3 linked regions of the Drosophila melanogaster genome follow. The gene in region 1 interacts genetically with each later gene. Each region holds a gene or a part of one and is shown in the gene's direction. Other genes may lie near its edges. The genes, in order: frac, beat-Ia and sax.

Region 1 (7,702 bases):
GTCCGTGCCCATGAATGAAGCGAAATATCCGCTTGGGTTGACAGTTCCAATCAGATAAGAACTATGCAATCGATTCGGCATATTCTGTCCTATGCAAATCGCTCGATTGCGCTAGATTTCACTGTGGCCCACACCACCGCACAGAGATGATCGTCGAGGGGCCCTTCGAAAAGATTGATTTTTGATTTATTTTGGCCAAACACTTTTTTGGACAATTTTTTTTTTTTTTTTTGCAGCAATCGATTGGCTCTTGTGGCGCTGAATGCCTATTTCTGCCGTTCGGCGATTTATGTCAGTCAAGCAGTGACAGCGCTTTTCATGAGCCAATAAAGTTGTCCATGTCGCTTTGTCATATTCATATATCATGGCCGTACACCCGGCGACTTATGTCACATTCACATGGCCCAAGAAACTGGAGTATCGAGCAGAGCCTGCGCATAAACGAGGCCTAAGTGCGCGATCGAGAGACGTCGTCCGTGATGGTGACGGTGACAAAACACAATTTGGCCAGGCCAAACAAACAGTCAGACAGACGGAGGGACAGATAGACAGACCTATAACATACTTGTGTACAAACAAACCAGCTAAAAAAGTCGCATATAAATCAGCACACGCAGCTGGTTCATTAGACTCTCCACTTCGGGCTCTTGGCACTGCCATTTGGCTTGACATTAATTACATAAGCTAAGCGGCGCTTAATAATGCGCTCAACAATAGAGCAAAAGTGCTCGAGACCCAGTCGACCAATCTTGTGATGTAATGGCCTCCCCCATGCGAAAGTTTCACCTCTTAACACTCCGCCAATATCTTGAGCTTAGATGGGCAATTTGTTTATTGATGGTCCTCTTTAAAAATCTATGAAATTATGTGTACTTAATACTTAAATAAATACTAATACTTAATACTTAAATAATTTCATACCTTGTATAAGCGCGTTATTTTTATAAGTTAAACAATTTGATTTACTAAAGAATATCAAAAAATATAATCATGAGTTATTTTTAATGGTACCCTAATCTCTAATACGCATCTTAACATAGCTTCCTTTCCATAAAAATGTTGAAAAGAATATTAAATGTAAATAAACGAGTAAAATTTGATTCAGAAAAGTCAAAATGAAAAAGATGGAATAGACGGTTGTTGAGTGTGGGAGCCGAAAATGCTTTATGAGTATTTGCATTTGAAACAGGTAGTTGTGGGTGTAAATCCATTATGTCCGACATATAAATACTTCGAGTATCAAACTTTATTTATATTTAAGGCGAACTACGTCCTTTTGTATTCAATTACAATTACGATTAAAAACCATTTGTGATAATCTACAGAGTAGCTGAGCGAGCAGACTATTTATTCTATATAGTACCAGCTAATATAAATTATGTTAGAGACTACCGCATTTGACAGCTGCTGAAGGATCAATGCGATCAAGTTCAATGGATGACGGAACCTCATTAATTATCACAGCCCAATGCTAATGATAATACCATGGGTAAAAATAGCTTTCCTCTACGCGTCCCCCTCTGGTGACATTTGTGCGCTCTCGCACTAATTTGCTTTATGATATCAATGAAATATCAGCATATATACACCCATAAACTTATATATATATATATATCTTTGGAGACATCGAAAAACTGTTTTCACGTTCCCTTCGAGAAAAGTCAGAATTTCTTTGGCTCCTCAGTCTTGTCTGGGCTCTCGACGGAATCGGTGCGTTTTCCAAAATAAAAATACTATTCCTGGTTTTTCCTTAAACTACAGAAGTATATATACAGACTGTTTTTATGTGTTTTAAATCAATTAAAGTAGTGAAATTCTCAGTGAACTCTAATTGCAAAAAGTGCCTTCGTTTGATGTAAATCCGACACATTTACTTCACGAATGACCTGTGAATATATGTAAAAAGTGTTGAACATGTGCTATTTATAAACCCGCCTTAATCTTAATGGCTTTGCTCCTCTATATGCCGCTACATATATAGATCTTCTCCCATAAATATGTTGGAGAACAAATAAAAAAAAGAAACGAATGTCGTGAAATCTTATTAATGTATTCTTTTTTATAAAATTTGAACCCAAGAACCCGATACAAGTGAGAGTGGAAAGGTGTGTGGCAGCTGTTCTATAAGGATCGGAAATAGGGCTGCAGAATGTGGGCGGCAAAATATGTTTTATGCGCGCTAGCATGCGTTGCATTTGCTTCAGGTGAGTGTGGGTGGAAATCGAAAATATTTCACGGATTTTGTGGAAATGGGAAATTTATTGGATAGCTTACAAGGAATTTTGGGGATTGTAAAAGATTATTATAGTTTGGATTGTGCTTCTTTAGATTATGGCAATCGGTTGGGTATTACGAAATATATCATTTAAATAGATTTAAATAGAGAATGTAAAAATGTATTCCAATTCAGACCTATTGAGTATTGTAATATTTAATTGGAAATTATAATTATTTGCCTTAAGGCCTTAAATTAAATCATTTTTTTTTTTTGATTATTTTGCTTTTTTGAAATGTATGTATATATATTGACCATTAAAATGTCCACAAAATGGTCATAAAAACCGTTTGGTTTATAGCTAATGGAGCATATATTCATAGTTTTATGACACGTTCTCCGGAAAATGTGTAACACAAAATAGTCATGGCTAACACGGGGCACTTATATATTTTAGCGAAATATTACTCACCAAATTACCGGCCGGCTTTATGAAAACTGAACATATAAAAACTGATCGTAAATCAAAACAAAGCAAGTCCCAAAATGACAAATTAAATTAAAAAACCGTGAAGACTATATGGCAAAGAAATATCTTTTGGCAACGATTCAAAAGATTGAATCACCTAGTTTTTATGGGATTCCCCTTAAAGGCAAAGATTCTAGGATAATACAATCGGGCTTTTTTTTTTAAACATATTTGGGTGATTGTGAACAGCTGTTTGTGGTATGGAGCGAACAATAAAATGTTTTATTGCCTTTAAGTTCTGGTGAGAAATCTTTTAGTGCACTAAATAATTTTGGATGCATAACACGGAAAACCGTTTATGTTTATGTTATGGGCATGTTCATTTTTTTTGATCTGCATACAACTTTATTGTTATAAAATCGCACAATCTTTTAGAACTAATGTCTCCAATCCCTGGAATTTCTATTAAATAGGCCTATAAATTTCAACAGGTTTCTTTTATGCTAATTTTCTGGTTATATCTTAAAAATTAATGTATTTCTATTTCCATTTAGCTTCTCCAAGCTCCGAGCGAAAAAGGAAAAATGTCATGAATATTCCAGAGGATCCTAAAGTTTCTGACTCCTTGGCTGCTTCTTTGGACATGAGCTGCTCGTCGGCCAAAATCCTTCCGCCGGAGATTAATCATGGTAGGGTGTCCGTTTTCGATCGCCGCCGGAGGGGAAAGAAGGTCTTCCTAGTGGCCTTTTTCGTATGCGATGATAACTACGACTTTGAAAACGGAATCTCAGAAATGTTTTGCTCGAACCAGAAATGGGTGGATGAAATACCCACCTGCATTCCCCAATTGAATTTTGAAGAACACGACGAGAAAGTAGGTTACGATTTGGAAGATTATTCCGACGAAACTGTGCCCAACGATTACGTCGAGAACAGTGATATTGATGAGGATGATGATGAAGAGGTTAGTGAAAGGGAACCACCACCGCCACCACCACCACCGGTAGTGGATGGAGCCGATTCCAAGCCTGAACCACAAATAGTTATCGAAATTAATGATGATCATGCAAATGAAGTCGTTGAATCAGAACCTGCTTTAGCGGAGACTGAAACTGAAAATGAGGTCCTTGAAAACGAAACTCCCCTGAAAGCGGAAGTCCAAACTGATGTACTCAACTCCAGCAATGCATCTGTTAAGGTCACCAATGATCCTTATGAGCCAACATTCTTGGATAACAATTGTGGCGAAGACAATGGAGGCTGTGCGCACATTTGCAAGCGATTGCTTTATCCAGATGAAAACCAGCCCATCAATAAGTGCGATTGTCGAGAGGGTTATACCCTGGATCCTAACGATTATGCTAGCTGCCTCGGTGGGTGTATTATATATAATTAAATTGAAAGAATTTGCTAGACAATATTATTCTTTTTGAAGATATCGACGAATGCCTGGAATCGAATGGTGGTTGTTCGGAAATTTGCGAAAACCTTCCAGGAGAATATAAATGTAGCTGCCAAGAGGGTTATTACTTAGACGAGTCAGGAAAGAGTTGTGTTGGTATGTTTTAATAAATGATATTTAAAAAGAAAAAAAATTCACATTAAATGGTATATACTTGTTTTCAGACATTAATGAATGTGCGAATCCCGAGCTGTCATCGAATTGCCAGGGTGCTTGCGAGAATCTGCCAGGTTCATATCGCTGTGTGGAGCCGCTGGAGGAGAATCCCGAGATCACGGAAGTCGTGGAGAATCCCATTGAGAAGACCAACGAAGTCCCAGTGAACGTTTCCGAATCACAACCCGCCGGAAAAACATGTAATTCTGGCTTTCAACTTTCCGCCGACGGCACTGATTGCCAGGACATTAATGAGTGCGAGGTAGACGGTCCTGAGGATCTTGATAATAACGCAGTCTGTCAGCAAAAGTGCGAGAACACTATTGGATCATTCCGTTGCACCTGCGTTGAAGGATACCACCTGCTCGAAGATCAACGAAGCTGTGCATTGGATAGCTGTACGGATCTGGAGAATCCCCAGTTGAATCGCACTCGATGTGCCCACGAATGCCAGGATTTGCCAGAGGGAAGCTACCGATGCGTGTGTCCCAAGGGTTATGAACTATCAGAGGATCAGCATTCCTGTTTGGTGCAAGAATCTCCATGCTCCACAGAAAAGGGAGTTGAAAAGTGCTCCCCGGGAACCTGTCTAGCCAGTGAGGATAATACCAGCTTCAGTTGCATTTGCCCAACGGGCTACCGCAGTGAGGCATTCAGTTGCCAGGACATTGATGAGTGCGCAGAGGATACACACCTTTGCAGTCACACTTGCCAGAATACACCCGGTGGTTATCAGTGCCAGTGTCCCGAAGGACTCAACCTGGTCGAGGAGTACACCTGTTTGGCCGAGAATCTCTGCGAGGTGAACAACAACGGATGCGAACAGATCTGCCTGACTGCCCGAGGAGGAGTTTGCGCCTGTCGCGAGGGATTTCGATTAAGTGCCGATGGCAAGAGTTGCGAGGACGTGGATGAGTGTCTGGTAAATAACGGTGGCTGCCAGCAGGTGTGCCGAAATCTTCCAGGTTCGTATGGGTGTATATGTGCCGCCGGCTATGAGCTCCTCAAGCTTGATGGCATACGCGGCTATTGCTTCGACATCGACGAGTGCTCGCAGAGAACTCATGGGTGCAGTGATCAAATGCTTTGCGAGAACCTCAATGGTTCGTACACCTGCCTCTGTCCACCGGGATATGCCCTTGGCTTGGATAACCACATAGTCACATCACTAAACAGCTCATTCATTACTGATTCAACCTCATCCGAAACCCCATCAGCGCATACATGCTTGGACATTGATGAGTGCTCTCTGGCCAATGGGAATTGCTCCCACTTTTGCCAGAACGAGCCTGGTGGCTTTCAGTGCGCCTGTCCCTTGGGCTATGCCCTATCCGAGGATATGCGCACCTGTCAGGACATTGATGAGTGCCTCGATAGCAATGGCCAATGCTCGCAGCTCTGCTTGAATCAACCTGGGGGATTTGCCTGCGCTTGTGAAACGGGTTTCGAGCTAACTCCAGATGGATTCGGTTGCGCCGACATTGATGAGTGCTCGCAGGACTATGGAAACTGTAGCGACATCTGCATCAATCTTTTAGGTACCCATGCCTGTGCCTGCGAAAGGGGCTATGAGCTGGCCAAGGACAAGCTAAGTTGCCTGGATGTGGATGAGTGTGCCGGCCTTCTTTCCGGTGGTTGCAGCCACGAGTGCATCAATAAGGCAGGTACCTTTGAGTGTGGATGTCCCTTGGGTTACATACTCAACGACGATGGTCGTAGCTGTAGTCCCGCTCTGGTGGGTTGTCCACCGGGAACTCAGCGATCCGCGGATGGATGTGCTCCAATTGAATGCAATCCGGGTTATACCCTGGGATCGGACGACAAGTGTGTGGACATCGATGAGTGCCAGAAGCAGAACGGTGGCTGCTCGCATCGCTGCTCCAATACCGAGGGTTCATTCAAGTGCAGCTGTCCACCGGGCTATGAACTAGATAGTGATCAAAAGACTTGCCAGGACATCGATGAGTGTGACCAAGACAAGACTAGTTGTATCACTGGAACCTGTATAAACGAGATTGGAGGCTTCCGCTGCGAGTTTCCCAAGTTCCCCGTTCTGCCGGAGATTCCCACAGCTTCGTCACTGCCTGAATCGCCCAAAATTGAATTGAAGACGCCAAAGTATCCTGATTTCACCGAGCTGTCCAATGAAATACCCGAGAATCCCAAGAAACCAGCTGAGTTCGATTACCCAGAGCCCAAGTTTCCATCTTTGCCTAAGTGGGAAGGTCTTCCAAAGCTTCCGCCCCTTGCTGACATACCTACATCGAAAGCACCCGTTCCCCTGCGTCCTGAAGTGCCTAAAAGTCTGTGGGTTAATCAGTTGCAACCCAGGGATCTGTGCCCTCGATTTCAGGCACCACGAAATGGCAAGTCCCACTGCAATAGGTATCGCCATAAGCAGAAGCTCTTCTACTACAGTCGCTGCCGAATTTCATGCAATTCGGGCTATATTCTTCAGGGTCCTGAGATCAAAAGCTGTGACGCCAATGGAATTTGGGAGGGGCCCGAAACCAAGTGTGTTGGTGAGTCATTAAGTTAAGTAATAGATTATACAGTTGGCATTCCGTACCTCTTCCGTACCTTTTCGCAGCCATCAACCAACCTCGTGCACAGAGTCCTGGAATCTGCCCCGCTCTAAAGCCCGCCCAAAATGGAGTTATACTCCCAGCTAGCTGCACTCAGGGTCCATCTCGATTTGGTGACGTTTGCCGTCTTCAGTGCAATGCTGGCTTCGTGTCCACCGGATCCTTGTTGACCGCCTGCATGATGCTGCAGGGCTGGTCGTTCGGTGCAGATCTCAACTGTCAGCCATTCGGAAACGGTTTGCTTGGAAATCAATTATCCCCGATGTGGAATTCTCCGAAAACAGTGACTCCTCATCAAATCCAGAATGTGGAACAGATTAGGCCCTATATCAATTGCCCGGAAAATGTTGTAATCCTACTGCATGCCGGTGAGCAGAAGGCTCATGTGACTCTTCAAAGACCCCAAACTAATGTTAAGAATGGCCGATTGGTCGCCCATCCCGCTTGGGCTGGTCAACTTCAGGGTCATCTGCCAGCTGGAGTCCATAAGGTTGACTTTAGAGTTAACGATCCGGAGACCAAGCTCACAATTAAATGTCACACAATAATTACTGTTAAGGCTGCAACACCTAGAGAATCAAATCCATTTACTTTGTTTCGAATATCTGATTATTCAAGATCATCACTTCCCAGACCGGCTCCATTTGCGACTTTGTCCACTGGTAGTTCATTCTCATTTCCTGCATTCAAAGCCCTGGATGCAACTCCAAAACCAGTTTCCTTTACCAAATTCCAAGTTTTCCCAGATTCTGAGTCATCAGAGCACTCGAAACTTGGGTCATCTTCCTTCTTCAGGCTGGAGCCCCTTTTCCACG
Region 2 (5,042 bases), on another chromosome or scaffold:
ACAGTTTTTATTTCTCCTTTCAGAAATATTCGTTCTAAACGAAATCGACCTGGAGGTGTTCACCACCCTGACCGAGGAAAACCTGATGGAGCTGGGTATCGCGGCGTTTGGAGCTCGCAAGAAGCTGCTGACGGCCATTCACACGCTGCTGGCCAACGAGGCGGCCTGCAGCACAATGCCCAGCAGCAGCTCCTCGCAGAACTCCTCGTCGCCGCGATTCTCCGGAAGTGCGGCCCCAGGCGCAGAGCGCCGTCCCTCCAACCAGTGGTGATCCGCTCCTGTCGTTCGACCCCATTGCCTCGAATTCTTTTTTTCTTTTTTTTTTTGCATGCCCATTTATTTGGTAGTCGTAAGATCAAGAGAATCGGAACGGTAAAAAGTATAGGAAGAAGTCAGGAAGAAAATGGCAACTCCCTGGGCGAATAGCTTTCCCGCACAACACAGCCTTGACCTTGACTTATACTCGCATTTGTACTCAAATTCCAAGTAGCATAGCTGCGCTCGGGAAAGTGCACAGTTTTCCCAGTGTGCCAATAGGTCGTAGTTGCCTTTATTTTAAGCGATTAATTTATTTTGAAATTATTTATATAGGAAACCGTCTTAAGCAAAAAAAAAAAATATTGTGAATTATTTATGAAATCTAACTAAACGAAATCACTTGTTGTAAGAAATGAATTTATGTAAACTAACTGAAAAAGAAAAAAAAATTAAAAACAAAAGCACAGCATGTATTAAGTGATAAGCAAAATAGTCACGCACAAACATTTGATATGAATAAATTGATGTCTATGAAAAATCAACTAAATATATTTTTTAGTAGATTATTAGATTAATATGATTTGCTTAATTTTGTAGAAACATTTGTAATATATGTACATTAAGTCGTTGCCGCTTTGAACTCTTTTAGCCTGGTTGGAATAGAGGTTAATGACTTTATTGTCTCCAGTTGTCTGCATAATTTGTATTGCCTCGCCTCGTGCCAAGAAGTCTTGCAAAGCAACAAAATCGAATGTGTGTCCTTACACGAACTAAACGGGCGGCAAAAGGGGCGTGGCTGAGCTAATGAACTGGAAATGTTTTGCTCCAGTTGCCGGTGGTTGCTACCGTGTTGCATCAGCATAATTGCAAATTTTTATGATTATGACACTTTGGGCGCAAAGTGCCTTTGCCAATGGCAACTAATTTCTGCAGCCATCTCAGTCCCAGTCTGGTGGTCATCTACATGGGGCTATGCTCCACTTAAGTACTTCGAGTGGGCTTTTGCGGGACATTTTGGCAAGCGGCTTGATTTACAATTATGCTGGATTTGAATTTGGATCCCAAGTGGAGTCACTGACCAGCCCGAGAGTCGCCAGTTTCGGCCTCCATTCGTCAATGCTGGTCCCATTTTAAGTAGAGGAAGTGTTGTGTAATGGGAGGACATAGTTAAGTGGCCATAAGTATAATTTGAGTATGTGTTTCCTCGGCCTTTCAAAAACAGTAGGAAAATATATATATTTTTATAAATTTCTTTCGAAAGAAGTTGAAAATTGAATTAACCACGTTAAATTTACTTTCCATATACTTTTTCCGTACACTCAGACAGGAAGAAGTATTTCTAAAATATATGCTTATTTAAGCATACTTACCTTCCGAAGTCTTGTAATTAAACTCTAACATGTATTTAAAAAATTTAAAGTAAATTTAAAATTTAAAAATTTATTAAATTTAAAAATAATGTTACAATTGGTTTTTTTATATTGTACACAGTAAGTTGCCGTTTAAAGTGGCAGTCGTGGTGAGTACAATCAAGCAGTCAAAACGAAGCAGTTCTCTTAGGCAAAGCAGTGGGAAGGGGAAATCAAGCAGTGGAAGGGGAACCAAGCAGAGTTAGCAATAGAAGCATTTATGGATAAGAAACCCACCACACGGGTGCTCTCTCTCTCTCTCTCCTCGCTTTTCCATTCGTGATTTTCCGATGAAGGACGTCGGATTCTCCGAACCATCTTCGTTGGCCATTCGCCAATTGGGAAATCTGTGCACAGGACTCGCAGTGTCGCGAATCCTTCGACTCCTGCTGCAGTTTACATTGCGTTGTCCGTGCGTAAGGACGTGCGTAGATCATCATTTCAATTTTCGCAGTATTACGAGCATCGGAAATAACAGAAAAAATTGTTTAAAAAAAAATGGTTGAACTGCACTGAAACCGCAGGACTGAACCCAATTTTTGCTGTGGCGTGCGTGTGTGCGAGATGCAGTTTTTGTGTTTCTGACATAGCATTTACCAAAACAGAAGGCGGAAAATAGGGAAAAGGATCCGACGAAGGATCTGCGATAGTCCCAAACTGTGTGTGTGTGGGTAAGGCTGTTGCTTCGTCGCCACCAGTGCATGTGTGTGTGTGAGTGCGAGTGTGTTTGTGCAGTCACGTGTTCTAAGGTGATTTTAACGAGCTCCGTGATACGCGAAATGAGATAAGGAACGAGGAAGCAGCAGAATCGGGAGGAGTGAACGGCTTAGGCGGGCACAAAAAGGAGCAACAAGAAGCCACGCAGCCAAAGCCAACAACCAAATCCCCATTCGCCAGGACAGGATACTTGCTCGGTGCGCCTTAAAGGATTCTCTGATAAATCAACCGAAAATTGCATAAAATAAAATTGTTTGCCAAATTGTGCGCAGCGAGAGAACCAAAAAGCAAAAAAAACAAAACCTTATACTCACATGTGAAATATGACTAGCCAGTTGCATTGAAAGTACAAGAAAATAATAAGAGAGAAAATTTACCCAAATAACCTGAAGGTAGGAATACATTATAATCTCTTTGACACAAATTGATGCTTTGGGATATGATGTCAGGAAGGGTATTGGGATATGATTACGAATATTTAGACTCGTATACTAGAAACGCACAAGAGCGTATGTTATTTAAAAGAAAAACAGTTTTTTAACATTTGAAATTTGAAAAACTAATATTTTAATTTTGCTTCACAACAGAGTTGTAGAAAAATAGTTGATAAAGTTTATAATTGAGAATATTATTTGCAAGGGAATGCAAATAACGTTTGAGTAACAGCTCATAAGCCAGTTCAGCGAAAGCATCAACCTTTCACGAACTTTGAAGCATCCTCTGCGCTTCTGTAATTTCATATATCGCAATCTGCGACGTTTAATTTTGATGCACCATGTCCCTGCTCCTGGCAAGGCAATTTGAGGATTCCGGGGGTTTCCTTTCACATCCCAGCCAGCGGAAGATAAGCCGGAAGATGTACAGAAGGGCGTGCCCGTCTCATCCAACAGGCAAACAAAACTTGTCAATTGCCAGGGAGCGTGTCTCCGGGACCTCGGGCTCATCCTTTTTTGGTAAACATTTCCCATAGTTGCTGGGGAACTAGGCAACAATGTCTTGAGCTCAGTCCTAGCTGCTTCGATTTGCCCATTTTTTGTTGATGGAAAATGTCAACTGCCTGGCAGAGTTTTCATCCTCACTTTCGAGCAACCCACTGACTAGGCAAAAATTGTATTTAGTGGGACAATCAATATCGGATGAGGGAGGGGCAGTCAGTTGGGCGGCAGTCAAACATTTATTTGATTGACTGATTGATATGTGAAATGATTTATTGCCGCCGGAGGAGGAGGAGGAGGAGGAGGAGGAAGAGGAAAAGGCGAAGGCGAAGGACGAAGAAAAGTGCTGGCAAGTGTCCACAAACAGCTGAGTCGGAAAAGTTCCGAAACAAAACGAGAAAACCTTTAACCAGCCGAGCAGGAACATTTATTTCCCAGTCTATCTCTGCAGTTTTCCATATCCTGCTCTGTTTTTGCAGTGGAATTTCCACAGCTCTGTAAAAATGGCTCGGACCAAACTTTTTCGCACGCTTTATGGGAGAATAAAGTAAATAATGAAAGCTATTTAGCACAGCCAAGGGGCACATTAAGTCGTCGCCAGCCTTTTCGGATTATCCTGCGACCGGCTTAAAAATAACAATAGGACCAAGCAAACAGATGCACACTGTAAAAAAATAAACTCCGGCAGGATTTTTGAGTTAAAAATAAATAAATCTGTTAAAAGGAGTTATTACACATTTTGACTAACTCTCCTAAAAGTAAAGTGCTTATTTAATGAGAAGGAATATAAAAGGCGTATAAACTTTATGTCATACTTTTCCAGAAATCTACGAAACTTTTGTCATAAGTCATTATTAAAGGGAAATATAAAAATTTTCCGAATTATTTTACTAGCTTATTTTCATCTAGTTTGTCACCCATTACCAAAGTTACAGTATAATGAGCTCCCTTTTGGATTCGTATTATTTTACATGCATAAGCTTAAAAATTTGGCTAACCCAGAGATTATGAATTCCAACCAAAATCAAATCCTTTGAAATAGCACAATGTGTTCACCGAACTTCCTGGCGCTTAGTTCAAATTTTGAATATTGTCATAGATTTTATTCAAATAAAACGGACAGCATAATATTGGCATTGATAAATGGTGTGACAGCTCTTCGTATTATATTTTGGCCGTGTAATATCCGTCGAGAGAGGTAAACTGTGGCCGGCGTTTAATGAGCTGTGTCCTGATCTGAGCCTCGGATGACCGGCGGCTCCTTTCGCCAGTTCGCTGTTGAGCTGGAGAAATTTCAGCCATTTTTTACTGCCACCTGCAACGGTGTCGCATTCTTCTCTCGACCAGGTATTTCTCTTATAGCCTGGATCTTTTATTTTCGTTCTTTTTTAACTATTTGGTGGCGCTGCAAGTGCTGTGGCTTATGAAAAAGAACGCTGAGCGGAGGCACTCCGAAATTCGGGCGAAAATGCGAAAAAGAGGAACCTAACTAGGCGTGGGTGTTAATTAGTTTTTCGGCAAGTGCCCCGAAATTCTGTTTTCTTATTAGTTTTCACTTATTTGTTTAAGCTGATTATGTGCGTGTATACTCAACCAATGAGTTGTGCTAATCCTAAAGGAATTTGCTCGCAAATTTATGGCTTCGTTATCCCACTTGAGCTTTGATCTACAAAAGCTGGTTAAATGGCCAAGGATTTATTCAATTAGTATTGGCATAACTGAA
Region 3 (6,129 bases), on another chromosome or scaffold:
TCGCCATCTAGAGCGGTCTTGATCACGAATCCCGGCTTCGGGTGGATGAACCTCACCTCCACGCCACGCTCCTTCTCCAGCTGCGTGATCTCTGACTCGTAGATCTTGCGGTTCTCAGGATCCTGGATCTCATCCACGTAGTCGAAGAAGAGCTTGCGGAACTCCTCCTTGCCAAAGGCCTCCTGGAATCGGTTGAACTCGTCCCTGCTTATATCGAGCCGCTCATCGTCACAAAGTTTGGATTGTTTATTACGCGATCTAGATGCGGACATAGCTTTCTCGCAGGCACACTTCACTCACGGAGGGATCTCTTCGGTCTCCTCTTCTCTCCTCGGCACTTTTACTACACAAATACAAATTTTCTTATCACTTCGACGGGTTTTGATTTTTTGTTTGTTTCTATTTGTTAGGGGTTGCTCAGTTTTGGGCCACGTTTCCTTGGCAAATGCGTTGGGTTTCTATTTCTGGAAGGTTCTGAAAGTACAAATAAACATAGATGTAAGTACGGACAATCTTGTAAGATAATCAGCTATCTTATATTACGAATGTATAACTGCAATAACAACAAGACAAGTCGTTTGGGAAAAATTACTAGTTTTTCTGTTTCGGCTATACATATGTAAGTTCTATGTATACCTGGCTATTTTATAGTTTTGCAAATAAACCTTGAGGGCATGACTAAATCTTGCGGAACCTGGCGAAACTCTGGAAACTTTCCAATCGAATCTGAGATAAGCCAAGTAAGTACCAGGTCCCAAGGTTGCCCTAGGTCCTGACCATTTCGCAGCCAAAAAAAAACACCGAGCTGGCATTTAATCAAATTCTAATCAGCAGATAGGCAAATAAATATTAAATCAATGACGCAGAAAGGTCGCTGTCGAAAATCACCGGCTATCCGCCGGATTTACGGGCATTATGTAAGTAGATACACATGTGTGTAGATGACTACAAACTGACCACGAGTTTTTTTTTTACTTGTCGGCCAATAAATAAATAAACGAACTGCGTAGTTTGTGAAATTCTAGGAGAACGCGTAAATGTTTTCTGTTTTTTTTTTCGAGTTTTGGTGCGATGCTTTCCCGACGAGCGTTTTTATGAGAATGGGAGCGCTACGCCCGAAACGCCGGCAAATATTGGAGGCTCTTTGCGAGTCGAGCGGCCCACAGAGAGAGCGTCCTCTGCGCAGTGAGGGGCTTTTGATAAGCGCGAAAAAAACCACTTGCCCCAATTGTTTTTGTTTAGCGGGATTCTGCCCCCGCAGCCCCTGCGCTCACACACACATTATGCGATTTCTGGCGCAACCCAACTAATTGTACAATAAACGACCACATCTCTACACACATATGTATGTATATACAAAGATAATGTTTGTATTGCGTCTGCCAACTGATATTACAAACTTATGTACATACATATATGTGCAGGAGGGCGGGGGTGGTAATTGGGGGGTCAGTAAGATGATTCCCTACGGCGTGTGTATCTTCTCCATTGCAAGGAAAACGAGGAAAATTATAACAGTTACGTGACTAAAAACACATGTTTGCGCTGTGGGAGGGGGAAAACTCTGTCGTTTGATCGATACTAGCTGAAACCCATTGATTTTCTGGACAAACCGGTCGCAGTGGACATGAAAACCCTAACTAAGCAAATGTTTTGTTATATTCCATGACACCGGGTAGGTAAATCCGTTAATTTCACTCAGGAAAACAACTTAATGGCACGAAAACTCCTCCACTGAAGATCTCCTGCTTCTCCACTTACCTAAATTGAACACAATTATGCTTTGTGAACACAACGGCACTGAATAAAATAATTGTCTGTTAAATGGGCTCCTTTGCCAAAGACTCTTTGATGGGAGTTCGAGTTTGACGTTCTAGAAACTTTTCCGCTGACCGGCTGCTCGTGTTGGTGTGCGTGTTGTGCTTTGGTATTTTTACGCAGGGGATTTGGGAAATTTGAAGACCCGGTATTTTATGTGAAATATGTTATGTGCAGATGTGGGCCCTGGTCACACTGCCCGCTAGAAGTATATCGATAGGTTCCGATAGGCTCGGACAAATAACATTTCTAGCAATGGAGTCCAATATATATTTAGTTTTTCTATTGACGTTTCTGCTGTACAATAATGCCAGAGGTGGGCATCAATTAGTGTTAATCAATTACCAAGTGCTTGGTGAAGAGAGTGCGCAAGAGAAATTTCGATTTTATGGGGTTTTAGAGCCACATATAATGCCTTGAAAAGTCACTGAGTGTTTTGGGTTTGTTTTCATATGCTGCGGTTCTGGCCAATTGCGTTGCGTATTTGGCCAGGCCAAGGCGAAAAAAGTGCCCTCGGAATGCTGATTGGTGAAAGAAGCACCTGATGGATCCCACAGAATGTATTATATAAACGGATGTCGTGGGCGTTTGCAGCATAAGTGCATTTTCTCAATGATTTACCCACGCACACCACCGTTCTGTGTGTGTATACAGAACTTGCTGGGGCGCCTGTGTGCATGTGTGTGTGTGTGTTAGTGCTGGTGGCGTTTGTGTTGGTTGGGCCGTCCATGTGTGTACATATGTATATGCTATGTGCATATGGTTTAATGTGCATTTGTTATGTTTCAGCCGAAATCAGCGATCATCTGCGGGAGGACATACCGGACTTAGACATGGAGCTCTCCTCCGCCTCATCCGCCCATCTCAATGGCAAGGAGCTACCGGCCGTGCCACAGAACTCGGTGCAGACGCATCCCAGGTGATTATATCTTAAGTCTTGAGCCCATAGCTTGTAGCTCCCGCTTCCGCCCAAAGGCTTTGTATTGCTAATCTCATTTCCCTCCTAATTGCCATGCTGCTAATCCTTAATTAGGAGACACATTAAGAGTAAGCGCCGCATGAAGAGAAGGTAAAACCTACACGACTCATGAACTAAAACATCATAAACTGGTTAACTTTTAGTTAAAATTTTGAAAATATTCATAATTTTACTTAAAAAACCCCATTTTTTTTAAATATTTTATAGTATATTATACTTTTATACCCAAATGTTAACAATTAAAAGCTGCCCGTTTGCGTAACCGATTCTTCTTCAATCTTATTAAACTCTCTCTTTTTTTTATCAGATACAAATGCTACTCCTGCGAGCCGCCCTGTCGGGATCCCTATGAGTTTACCCACACCTGCCAGAATGCGATTCAGGTGAATACTCCACCTTAAACTTGATTAAAACTTAAATGTAACTTAATTTCCGAACTTCAACAGTGCTGGAAGTCGCGCACACGCGATGCCGATGGTCAGGTGCAGGAGTCACGCGGCTGCAGCACCTCGCCGGATCAACTGCCCATGATCTGCAGCCAGAACTCCTTGAAGATCAACGGGCCCAGTAAACGCAATACGGGGAAGTTCGTGAATGTGGTCTGCTGTGCCGGTGATTACTGCAATGAGGGAGACTTTCCGGAACTGCTGCCCTTCGACAGCAATGATGTGACGGTGATAACCGCGGATACCAGTAGCATAAGCAAGATGCTCGTCGCCGTTCTGGGTCCTTTTCTGGTCATCGCTCTGCTGGGCGCCGTGACCATCTTCTTCATTCGTCGTAGCCATCGCAAGCGTCTGGCTGCCTCGCGAACCAAACAGGACCCGGAAGCGTATCTGGTCAATGATGAGCTGCTCCGCGCCACCAGCGCCGGGGACAGTACGCTGAGGGAGTATCTGCAGCACTCGGTGACCTCCGGCTCGGGCAGCGGATTGCCGCTGCTAGTGCAGCGTACGCTAGCCAAACAGGTCACCCTGATCGAGTGCATTGGACGAGGCAAATACGGCGAGGTTTGGCGCGGTCACTGGCATGGCGAAAGCATCGCCGTGAAGATATTCTTCAGTCGCGACGAGGAGTCCTGGAAGCGGGAGACAGAGATATATAGGTGAGCAACAGATTATTTGTGACTCTGTAATTTGTAGCTGTAGAAATTTTTAACTGTTTCCCCAGAAGAAAAGTGCCCTAGTCCAGTCATGACTACCTACCTGTTGCTCTATGAATCATAAATAATCGTTCTTTGTTTTTCAGCACCATATTGCTACGACATGAAAATATTCTGGGATTCATCGGCTCTGACATGACGTCGCGGAACTCGTGCACCCAACTTTGGCTGATGACGCACTACTATCCACTGGGCTCGCTCTTTGATCACCTAAACCGTAACGCCCTAAGCCACAACGATATGGTATGGATTTGCCTGTCCATAGCTAATGGGCTGGTACACTTGCACACAGAGATATTCGGCAAGCAAGGCAAGCCAGCTATGGCCCACCGCGATTTGAAGTCAAAGAATATACTGGTCACCTCGAACGGCTCCTGCGTGATAGCCGATTTTGGACTGGCCGTTACCCATTCGCACGTCACAGGACAACTGGACCTGGGCAACAACCCCAAAGTGGGCACCAAGCGCTACATGGCCCCAGAGGTTCTTGATGAAAGGTGTGTGCTTATTGGCAGTACAAAAAAGAATATTTTTACATTAACAATTTGTCTATTGTAGCATTGATTTAGAATGCTTCGAAGCACTACGCCGGACAGATATTTACGCATTTGGACTTGTCCTCTGGGAGGTTTGTCGCCGCACCATTTCTTGCGGCATAGCAGAGGAGTACAAGGTGCCCTTCTACGATGTGGTGCCAATGGATCCCAGCTTCGAGGATATGCGCAAGGTGGTCTGCATCGACAACTACAGGCCCTCCATTCCCAATCGCTGGAGCTCGGATTCGGTAAGTCGCTTTCGATTGCCATTCTCTAGATCTTTGATCTCATTGTTGTTCTCATTTTTTAGTTAATGACTGGCATGTCCAAGCTCATGAAGGAGTGCTGGCACCAAAACCCCGACGTGCGCTTGCCAGCGCTGCGCATCAAAAAGACTATACATAAGCTGGCTTCCGCTGACGAGAAGATACGCCTGGACTTCGACGAGGTCTGCGTTTAGTGGTAGTAGTCGAGCCTTAGCTGTAAGCGGTAATTTAGTTGTACCACATAGGTAGTCTAAGATTCATTCATTGACATACCCTGCATTTCACACTATTAGTTCGTAGGTATATTATTCAAAGCTAAGCCAAGATCCTGCGTGTTGAAGCAAACTAATCCAAGTACAAGACCCTTGGGAGCTTATAGTTATATAGAAGACTTTAACATATTTACTTTATGTTTGGATTGACTTTATCGTTTCCGTTCCACCGTGAGCCTAGCCTGAAAAGGGTGCCTTTGAAATTGCCTTAAGTTAAAGTTAGCATCGACTCTAATGTATGTTCTTGGGATATCATCCTGTAAAGTTGTCATTTCACTATTTACCATTATTCATTGTTCATCAAGTGCCATTTGCAATTGAGAATTGTAAACGCCTTAACTTTAAGCTCACTCTTTGAACTTTACACTAAATTCATAACTCTAGAACTTGTCCATGCTATGATAAAACCATAAGCCACACCACCAACTGACTTGCTATCTTAGTTAGTTAAGCCTTTAGGACTTAGATACCCACGCATAGAAGCATACACACCTACTTGTATATTGTACAAATGGCAAGCTATTTAAGTTTTGTATAGTCTAAACGAAATGAAATACACGAATAGGCATTAAACTTTGGGATAACTGGGTTTATTTGCTCGGTTAATGTCAATTGTCTGGCGTCAGTACCCGGAAGCTATCGTCGTTTTCTTCGTCTAGGAAGAGCAGACGGAAGATGTCGTTGAAGAAGTCGGGATAGTAGTCGCATGCGCGTTTGCAGTCCGGAGTCCAGTTGATTTCCAGCAACTGGGGCTCCATCAACTTCTCCTTATCGTCCTTCCACCGCAGCATGATGTCGGCTGCGTAAAGAGCTCGTGATTGGGCACAAGGAGCCAGGCCGCAGGGTGGATCTGCTTGACTGGCGCACTGAAGCACCTCGAGCAGCATGCTACAGATCTGCTGCTCCAGAGCCGACCAATCGTTATCCGGATACTGTTCCTGCCAGAGCGTCAGGAAGTCGTCGCACTTGACGTGATGCAGCTGCGCCTCCGTCTGGTAGTTCATCACCGTGTAGTGTTTCTCGTAGTCATCGAAGTGATCCAGCGTGAAGGGATGGTTTGCGAAACGCAGGAAGAACTTCCGGTGTATATATGCCT

What was found.
Region 2: of frac (region 1) and beat-Ia, changing one suppresses a phenotype caused by changing the other (phenotypic suppression), as found in Drosophila melanogaster (one study listed by BioGRID).
Region 3: of frac (region 1) and sax, changing one suppresses a phenotype caused by changing the other (phenotypic suppression), as found in Drosophila melanogaster (one study listed by BioGRID).

The regions. Positions count from the first base shown.
Region 1 is NT_037436.4:7,560,930-7,568,631, forward strand, and holds the start of frac (faulty attraction), read left to right. Parts: upstream 1-1,680; 5' UTR 1,681-1,763; exon of another isoform or gene 1,764-2,079; 5' UTR 2,080-2,149; coding exon 2,150-2,204; intron 2,205-3,238; coding exon 3,239-4,057; intron 4,058-4,119; coding exon 4,120-4,242; intron 4,243-4,310; coding exon 4,311-6,824; intron 6,825-6,892; coding exon 6,893-7,702.
Region 2 is NT_033779.5:16,047,935-16,052,976, forward strand, and holds the start of beat-Ia (beaten path Ia), read left to right. Parts: upstream 1-2,030; 5' UTR 2,031-2,776; intron 2,777-5,042. Other genes in the region: BicC (bicaudal C), read left to right, coding at 24-271.
Region 3 is NT_033778.4:7,804,465-7,810,593, forward strand, and holds sax (saxophone), read left to right. Parts: upstream 1-2,019; 5' UTR 2,020-2,073; coding exon 2,074-2,134; exon of another isoform or gene 2,135-2,548; intron 2,549-2,607; coding exon 2,608-2,737; intron 2,738-2,851; coding exon 2,852-2,887; intron 2,888-3,104; coding exon 3,105-3,180; intron 3,181-3,243; coding exon 3,244-3,902; intron 3,903-4,045; coding exon 4,046-4,456; intron 4,457-4,517; coding exon 4,518-4,743; intron 4,744-4,805; coding exon 4,806-4,955; 3' UTR 4,956-5,603; downstream 5,604-6,129. Other genes in the region: Nop17l (Nop17 like), read right to left, coding at 1-272; TTLL12 (tubulin tyrosine ligase-like 12), read right to left, coding at 5,642-6,129.